Linked DNA regions of Arabidopsis thaliana. The protein of the gene in region 1 interacts with the protein of each later gene in a pairwise test. Each region holds a gene or a part of one and is shown on either strand. Other genes may lie near its edges.

What was found.
Region 2: the proteins of AT4G28650 (region 1) and LURE1.2 interact in binary tests that used the Arabidopsis thaliana proteins (3 or more experiments, as listed by UniProt).

The regions. Positions count from the first base shown.
Region 1 is NC_003075.7:14,143,161-14,149,144, reverse strand, and holds AT4G28650 (Leucine-rich repeat transmembrane protein kinase family protein), read left to right. Parts: upstream 1-1,607; 5' UTR 1,608-1,868; coding exon 1,869-4,494; intron 4,495-4,574; coding exon 4,575-4,990; 3' UTR 4,991-5,187; downstream 5,188-5,984. Other genes in the region: IAA11 (indole-3-acetic acid inducible 11), read right to left, coding at 5,217-5,401, 5,497-5,558, 5,650-5,782, 5,875-5,984. UniProt on the Arabidopsis thaliana protein: Involved in the regulation of procambium maintenance and polarity during vascular-tissue development. Involved in the pollen tube perception of the female signal. Phosphorylates MDSI1.
Region 2 is NC_003076.8:17,472,535-17,475,310, forward strand, and holds LURE1.2 (Putative membrane lipoprotein), read left to right. Parts: upstream 1-1,514; 5' UTR 1,515-1,576; coding exon 1,577-1,625; intron 1,626-1,720; coding exon 1,721-1,944; 3' UTR 1,945-1,951; downstream 1,952-2,776. Other genes in the region: ARP9 (actin-related protein 9), read left to right, coding at 1-147, 234-277, 411-460, 576-672, 752-895. UniProt on the Arabidopsis thaliana protein: Pollen tube attractants guiding pollen tubes to the ovular micropyle. Attracts specifically pollen tubes from A.thaliana, but not those from A.lyrata. Triggers endocytosis of MDIS1 in the pollen tube tip.

The DNA.
Region 1 (5,984 bases):
ACTACGGATCGGAATGTTTTCTAAAAACAACAAATAATAAGAAAGAAAAAACAATTGTATAAAAGACAGGTCCACATGAGTGCATGTGAAGCAACAGTTTGTGTTTAGTACTGTAATAAGAAGGATGGAAACATGAAATCAGTAAGAGGAGTGGGTAATTGTTGGAGTATTACAATAATTGTTTTGATGAATATTATGCGTGTGCATTTCTCTGCCATTTTCCCACAAATCATTTAGCATTTAGCTTATCTTATCCTTTATCAAATTGATCAGTTAGTTTACCTCGACCCGTTCTTGATACATACATATCTGTTTGAGTTTTTAAACATCTTGGTGTTGAATTTGTCACGGTTATTATTTATCAAGTTTGGATTCTTTTTAGTGATATCAAATTACTATGCTATGCTAATTGGGCAGTCTGAAAAAAAAATAAAAATTATATTCTCTCGTTTGACGTACGTTTTTTTTATTCCGTCTCCATTTTACTTTACCTTAAAGGCATTGGCACTGACTTTGGGTGTATACGTCTACACATGCTTTTAGTCTTTTAGACATCAGGTAGAAAGTTTACGAAATTAGAATTTTATATCTGAAGAACGTTTAAGAAAGTAGCATTTTAATTAGGGACAATTTGCTGATACATTCAAGAAGTGATACAATTAACCACTTTATTTAATTTTTATTTGTTATATTATCAACAATATTATACTATACCTATATTACACTGCCATAAATCTGTAACATGGGAAGATTCTTATCTAATCAATCATGCAAACGAAAGAACAGTAACAAGCCTGCACTCTCTGCAGTGGCATACATTATAGTATTCACACTTTTGTTACGCATCAAGGTAAGTATGATTGAACTAAAGAAATATGTTTTCACGTATAATGGCCATGAGTGGGCTCGATCTTAATTTTTTTTAACCAACCAAATAGAAAGAAGCTTTTCGAAATTCAAAAGGGGTAAGAAGAAACGTGAAGATCGATCGTGGGAATATCTTCATTATTGCTGATTTTAATTAATAATGAAATTTATTTGGACCTATCTGATATTTAAATATGCTGCAGAGCATAGGGTAATAGGATCATCTGTTCTTCTTCATCACATGTGCAGGTCACCCATTCTTATATGCTTCGAACGTTCACCTCGGTGGCTATATCCTAAATACGAGATTTACAATATAATCACTGATTCATCATTAATATGTAATGTAATCGAATATTGCTAAGAGCTAATGGTATATTTTTTGTTTTTCTTCCTTAGAAGGCAAGCGTTAAAAGACACAAAAGGAAAAAGGTGGGAAAATAGATAAAGACATTCTACAAAAGCTGAATTAGAATGAAGTTAAGCATAAGCTACCTCTATGCCACACACCAAGTGTATGTATAAAAAATAGTAATTATATTAGTATTAGTTTAAGCTTAAGCTATCTATGGCACATTCACAAATCACTATACAGCAAATCAATAGTTGACTTAATTAATTTTAAAACACCGAACACATTTTTGGATTAGTTGTAATTGTGAAGAAAACACATTCTCTCTTCACATGTTCAATGTCTTAAGAAATTTCTCAAATACTTCCAAGATCTTGTTTATTTCTTTTTTTCTTAGAACATGTAACCCTACATACTCTTTGATCACTACATCCATATAAAACCAAGATTCATTTTTATATATCTCTGTGTTTATATGTCACATATATATAACATAATAAACACAGAACAAGCATATACTTACAGAGTTTCTTCTTATTCTACTCTCTTCCTCCACCACCTCCTTGCATGTTCACTAGTCTCGTTCTTGGTAATGAACTAAGGAGTCAAGTTTCAGTTGAAGCTGTTGAGACAGAGGAAGAAGTTGAAGATGAAGATGAAGATAATAGTTCTCTTCCTTTACTACTGTTACATTGGTTCTACTTCCTCTGTTTTAGCTTCCATCGACAATGTCAACGAGCTCTCTGTTTTGCTGTCGGTGAAATCAACTCTTGTGGATCCTCTCAACTTTCTCAAAGACTGGAAGCTTTCAGACACCAGCGATCACTGTAATTGGACCGGTGTTCGGTGCAACTCAAATGGCAATGTTGAGAAGCTCGACCTGGCGGGGATGAATCTCACAGGCAAAATCTCAGATTCGATCAGCCAGCTGAGTAGCCTTGTCTCGTTTAACATATCATGCAACGGATTCGAGTCGCTGCTCCCGAAATCAATCCCTCCGTTGAAATCTATTGACATCAGCCAGAATTCATTCTCAGGGAGTCTTTTTCTATTTAGCAATGAATCACTTGGGCTTGTTCACCTCAATGCTTCAGGGAACAATCTCTCCGGAAATCTCACGGAGGATCTCGGGAACTTAGTCTCTTTAGAAGTTCTTGATCTCCGAGGGAATTTCTTTCAAGGGTCACTTCCAAGTTCATTCAAGAATCTACAGAAGCTGAGATTTCTCGGATTATCCGGAAACAATCTCACCGGCGAGTTACCAAGCGTTCTCGGCCAGCTCCCTTCACTTGAAACCGCCATTCTTGGTTACAACGAATTCAAAGGTCCGATTCCACCGGAATTTGGAAACATAAACAGCCTCAAGTACCTTGATTTGGCCATCGGAAAGCTCAGTGGTGAGATTCCGTCAGAGCTTGGGAAGCTCAAGTCACTCGAGACGCTTCTCCTGTACGAGAATAACTTCACCGGAACAATTCCAAGAGAGATAGGAAGCATTACCACGCTAAAGGTTCTTGATTTCTCCGATAATGCGTTAACCGGCGAGATTCCAATGGAGATAACAAAGCTCAAGAACCTCCAGCTACTGAACCTGATGCGCAACAAACTCTCAGGCTCCATTCCTCCCGCCATCAGCAGTCTAGCACAGTTACAAGTCCTCGAGCTCTGGAACAACACGCTCTCCGGCGAGTTACCAAGCGATCTCGGGAAGAATTCTCCATTACAATGGCTTGACGTTTCTTCAAACTCCTTCTCAGGCGAGATTCCTTCAACTCTATGCAACAAGGGAAATCTAACCAAGCTCATTCTCTTCAACAACACCTTCACCGGTCAGATTCCAGCGACTCTTTCCACTTGCCAATCACTAGTTCGTGTTAGAATGCAGAACAATCTACTAAACGGATCAATTCCTATCGGCTTTGGCAAGCTTGAGAAGCTACAGAGACTCGAACTAGCCGGAAATCGTCTCAGCGGAGGGATCCCTGGAGACATCTCCGATTCAGTTTCACTTTCTTTCATTGATTTCTCAAGAAACCAGATCCGATCATCTCTCCCTTCCACAATCCTCTCAATTCACAACCTACAGGCGTTTTTAGTCGCCGATAACTTTATCTCCGGCGAAGTTCCAGACCAATTCCAGGATTGTCCTTCACTCTCTAATCTCGATCTCTCATCAAACACTCTCACTGGCACTATCCCTTCAAGCATTGCTTCATGCGAGAAGCTCGTAAGCCTCAACCTAAGAAATAATAACCTCACCGGCGAAATCCCTAGACAGATCACGACAATGTCTGCATTAGCAGTGCTAGATCTCTCCAACAATTCCTTAACCGGAGTACTACCAGAGAGCATCGGAACATCTCCAGCTCTGGAACTCCTAAACGTCTCATACAACAAGCTCACAGGTCCAGTCCCTATCAACGGCTTTCTCAAAACCATAAATCCAGATGATCTAAGAGGAAACTCCGGTCTCTGCGGCGGCGTTCTACCACCGTGTAGTAAATTCCAAAGAGCAACATCGAGTCACAGTAGCCTCCACGGGAAACGAATTGTCGCCGGATGGTTGATTGGGATAGCATCGGTTCTAGCTCTAGGGATTCTCACCATTGTTACGAGAACTCTGTACAAGAAATGGTATTCTAACGGATTCTGCGGCGACGAGACGGCGAGCAAAGGTGAATGGCCTTGGAGATTAATGGCGTTTCATAGATTAGGGTTTACAGCTTCCGATATCTTGGCATGTATCAAAGAATCAAACATGATCGGAATGGGAGCAACCGGAATCGTGTACAAAGCAGAAATGTCACGATCAAGCACAGTTCTCGCCGTGAAGAAGCTCTGGAGATCTGCCGCGGATATTGAAGATGGAACCACCGGAGATTTCGTAGGCGAAGTTAACCTCCTCGGGAAATTGAGACACAGAAACATAGTGAGGCTCCTAGGGTTCTTATACAACGACAAAAACATGATGATCGTATATGAATTCATGCTCAACGGAAACCTTGGTGATGCGATTCACGGCAAAAACGCCGCCGGGAGACTTCTCGTTGATTGGGTTTCGCGTTACAACATCGCGTTAGGTGTAGCTCACGGCCTCGCTTACCTCCACCATGATTGTCATCCTCCGGTGATTCACAGAGACATCAAATCCAACAATATCTTGCTCGACGCGAATCTCGACGCCAGAATCGCCGATTTTGGCCTCGCCAGGATGATGGCGAGGAAGAAAGAAACCGTTTCAATGGTCGCCGGTTCTTACGGTTACATTGCTCCCGGTAAGGTTTAAATACCATACCGATTACTAAATTGATTACAATCCGGTTTAGTCTAACAACATATGGTTGATCATTTGCAGAGTATGGATACACTTTGAAGGTGGATGAGAAGATAGACATATACAGCTACGGCGTCGTACTATTGGAGCTGTTAACCGGAAGAAGACCATTGGAACCGGAGTTTGGAGAATCAGTAGACATTGTGGAGTGGGTGAGAAGGAAGATAAGAGACAACATATCACTAGAAGAAGCATTAGATCCTAACGTAGGAAACTGCAGATATGTGCAAGAAGAGATGCTTTTAGTTCTACAGATTGCTCTTCTCTGCACTACAAAGCTCCCGAAAGACAGACCTTCGATGAGAGATGTGATATCGATGCTCGGAGAGGCTAAACCGAGGAGGAAAAGTAATAGTAATGAAGAGAACACTAGTCGTAGCTTGGCCGAGAAACATTCATCGGTTTTTAGTACTTCACCTGTAAATGGCCTTCTTTAGTATGAGATTTAAGAATCAAAAGAGGCCGATAAACTGATTCGTTCGATTCGTGTTCTGTATGTAGAAGAAAGAGAGAAAGAGAGAGAGATATGTATCTTTTGATTTAATTTTTCCATGTAGAATAAGTTTCCTTTGTTTTACATGATCATATTAACTTTGTGCATTGCTCTGAACCGTTTTGTTTTTGTGCAAGAAAGGGTTTTCTTATAGATTTTTAAAGTGTGATTTACAAAGAGAACATATAACTAACTAAAAGAAAAATGGCAGAGCCAAAAAAGAAACTGTAAAGGGGAGAGAAGAAGAAGAAGCTTCTTACAATGTTTTTGTCTTCTCTTTGATCTGTGATCTGTCTTATTACTGCTTCAAACATAAAGGGTTCTTCGTAGATTATTATTTGCTTCATAATATCATCTGAGCTGTAAACAAGGATCACACAAACACGGTCACAACGACAAAACAATGATTTTAATACAGATATCAGGATTTGATCGAATCAGTAAATGTACCTTTACCAGTAGCCTCCGATGTTTTCATTATCCGGAGCCTTCTCACTGAACCAATAAACATCCTAGACACAAGTAAAACTCAGGTTCAAACTTCAGAATTTGACGCTTACACGGGACAAAGCATCAAAAGCATAAGAACATATGTATGCATACCCCCACGGAACATCGCCAACAAGCATCCAATCTCCTTCCTTGTCTTCATACGTTAGTACTAATCCGGAAGACCCATCTGGTAGTATCTTGACCGGTGTTTCCATGTGACCATCGGTTTCTAGTGTGCGTGAACCTGATTAAAGAAAGAATCATAACTTCATTTCCCATACCAAGAACCAACTTCAAAGGAACCAAAAAAAAGGCCATGAGATTCGAAAAGCACACCTAATTTAGGTTTCAGAAACATTTCCTCTAGAGTGTTTGACAATGATTCATAGCATTTATGAGCATTCAGATCGATTTTCCTTCCAATAGGAATGCCATCCATAGTCACC
Region 2 (2,776 bases), on another chromosome or scaffold:
TGGAAGACACTTGGAACATGGACTTTGGAGGTGGTGGTAACATGGGATTACCAATGTGGGATAGTTTTGCATTTTCGCCTTCAAAACCAAAGAAAGAAGAGAAGATTGGTCTCGCTGAAGCCATTACAAGCAGCATTCTCTCTGCTGGTATATGTTGTGATGCACCCTCCTGCATTATATAAAAATCAACACCTAACAAAAACGTTATCCTTTTCTTCTTCCTTTGCTTGTAGGACGCATAGACCTTAGACGGAAGCTTTTCTCCAGCATTCAATTGGTAGATCCTGAAAACCTTTTTTTTTACACACTCAAGTTTTCGCCATGTACTTCCTTAAAATCATGTGCTACCATGTAACTCTTCATACATGAATGTGTTACCTTGGAACTCTCTCTCTCTTTTGGCTTCTCAGATTGGTGGTGCTGGTTTGACGAAAGGTCTTGTAGCGGCAGTGGAAGAAAGGTTTGCTCGTTTCCTTTACCAAACATTTCGTTTTCTAACATCCAGAAGGCACATCCAACTAAACAGAGTATTTTGTTCAACTAATGTTTATGTCCCTCTCTCCTTTGCGTTTCAGAGTTCTTCACGCGATACCTCCAACTGAAGCCATTGATACAGTGCAGGTTCTGCCATCAAGAACGGAGCCACAATTCGTAACTTGGAAAGGAGGAGCGGTACGTTTGCATTTGTTTGCATCTTTTATTTTCTTACCACTCTTGATTTTGTGTATTTATGTACTGAAATTTGAGACAGATATTGGGAATTCTGGACTTTGGGAGGGAGGCTTGGATTGAGAGACATCAATGGATGGTAAATGGGGTTAATAAAGGTGGTCTAAAGAAGTACAAAGACTCTTATCACCTTCAAGGTCAAGCAATGTACTTCATCAACCCCTAGTTTCTGTCTATATCTTAAGCTTTCTCTGTTTCTTATCAGAATACTTTTACTTGTCATAACTCAAAACCAAAAACAAAAATTCTCAGAGTAAATGTTATTTTGCTAAGATATTCTCAGAGTTTGGATTGATTCGAGGCATATAAGAATTTAACTGATTTGGTCATCTTTAAGATCATAACTATTAATAAGGAATCCAAAAGTTATTTAAGGTTTTGTTAGAAAAGCAAGATAGGCATCATGAGTTAGTATATATATATATATATATATATATAATATAGAACTTTTTGATTTTTTTTAATCAAACTATATTATATATATATATGTCTTAGTTCCTAATAAAATGTAAACTTCAATAGAATTTTTGAAATATAAAGTTTTAAACCTGTAATTGTTTGCACTTATTAGATGTATATTACTATTTATACCAATATATAACAGATTTTAATAACTAAACAATTATAATTTTTTAACAAAAACAAACGTAATAGGTTACTGAAATTTACTTTATAACAAAATAAAACGTTTAAATGAAAATTAACTCTTTATATAACATATTTATCTACAGAGCCTATAAATATGACTAAATATTGCTTTAATACTCCAGAGCAAAACAAAAGAAAAACGATTCACAATAATATTTAATATATTTTCTTTGTGATATTGGTTAATTTCTACCAAGAAATGAAGTTGCCTATTATATTCTTAACTCTATTAATTTTTGTTTCTTCATGTAAGTCTAAATTATTTAATTAGGATAATGTGTCAGTATTATAATCATTATAAAAACTGTTTAAGAATTTGATATATCTTTTAAAAATTTGATAGGTACATCAACACTTATAAATGGATCTAGTGATGAAGAGAGAACATATTCTTTCAGTCCAACAACAAGTCCTTTTGATCCACGCTCACTGAACCAAGAACTTAAAATTGGGAGAATTGGTTACTGTTTTGATTGCGCAAGAGCTTGTATGAGACGGGGTAAGTATATTCGTACATGTAGTTTTGAAAGAAAACTTTGTCGTTGCAGTATTAGTGATATTAAATAAGGCATTGTAACTTTGTTAAACATTAATAAAAAAACAAATTATATTACTGTTTAATGTTCATCCATGCTCTTCTTTTTACAATAATGAAAATGTATAATAATCTAAAAGTTTTGTAGTGTGCACTTAACATGAAATTTATTGGAGTTAATAAAGGCTGTCTAAAGAAGTACAAAGACTCTTATCACCTTCAAGGTCAAGCAATGTACTTCATCAACCCCTAGTTTCTGTCTATATCTTAAGCTTTCTCTGTTTCTTATCACAATAACTTTTACTTGTCATAACTCAAAACCAAAAACAAAAGTTCTCAGAGTAAATGTTATTTTGCTAAGATATTGTATGTTTTGTCATGTATTTGATTGAACCCTTTCTCTCTACACAACAAAACCAATTTCTAAGGGAGTTTTATTTTAGATTTATGATGGTTTAAAGAGAGAAAAAAAAAAAAAAAGTAGTTACAGTTTTTTGTCCCACATCGGCAATACGAGAGGGAAGGAGAGCAGAGAAGGGCTTATATAAAGAAGATGGGCCTCACCGTTAGAAATTAAAAAGGGTCGGATGGCTATTTATGCCACGCTCAGCCTAAGATAAGGGGTGAGTGCTGTATGGCAAAATCAAGACATATGGCCGACATTATTTCTGGAACAACCCATGGGTTGGCTCGCTCGGCCGACCCTCCAAATTACAATTAAAAATAATTAAAATTTGTTTATCATACGTTCGGCGTAATTGTTTACTATAATTAGATAAAGAATCCATTTTAATTCCCTCAACTAAAGTATTATTGACAAATACTTTATTCTATATACATTTAAAACTCCAAATGACTATCGTT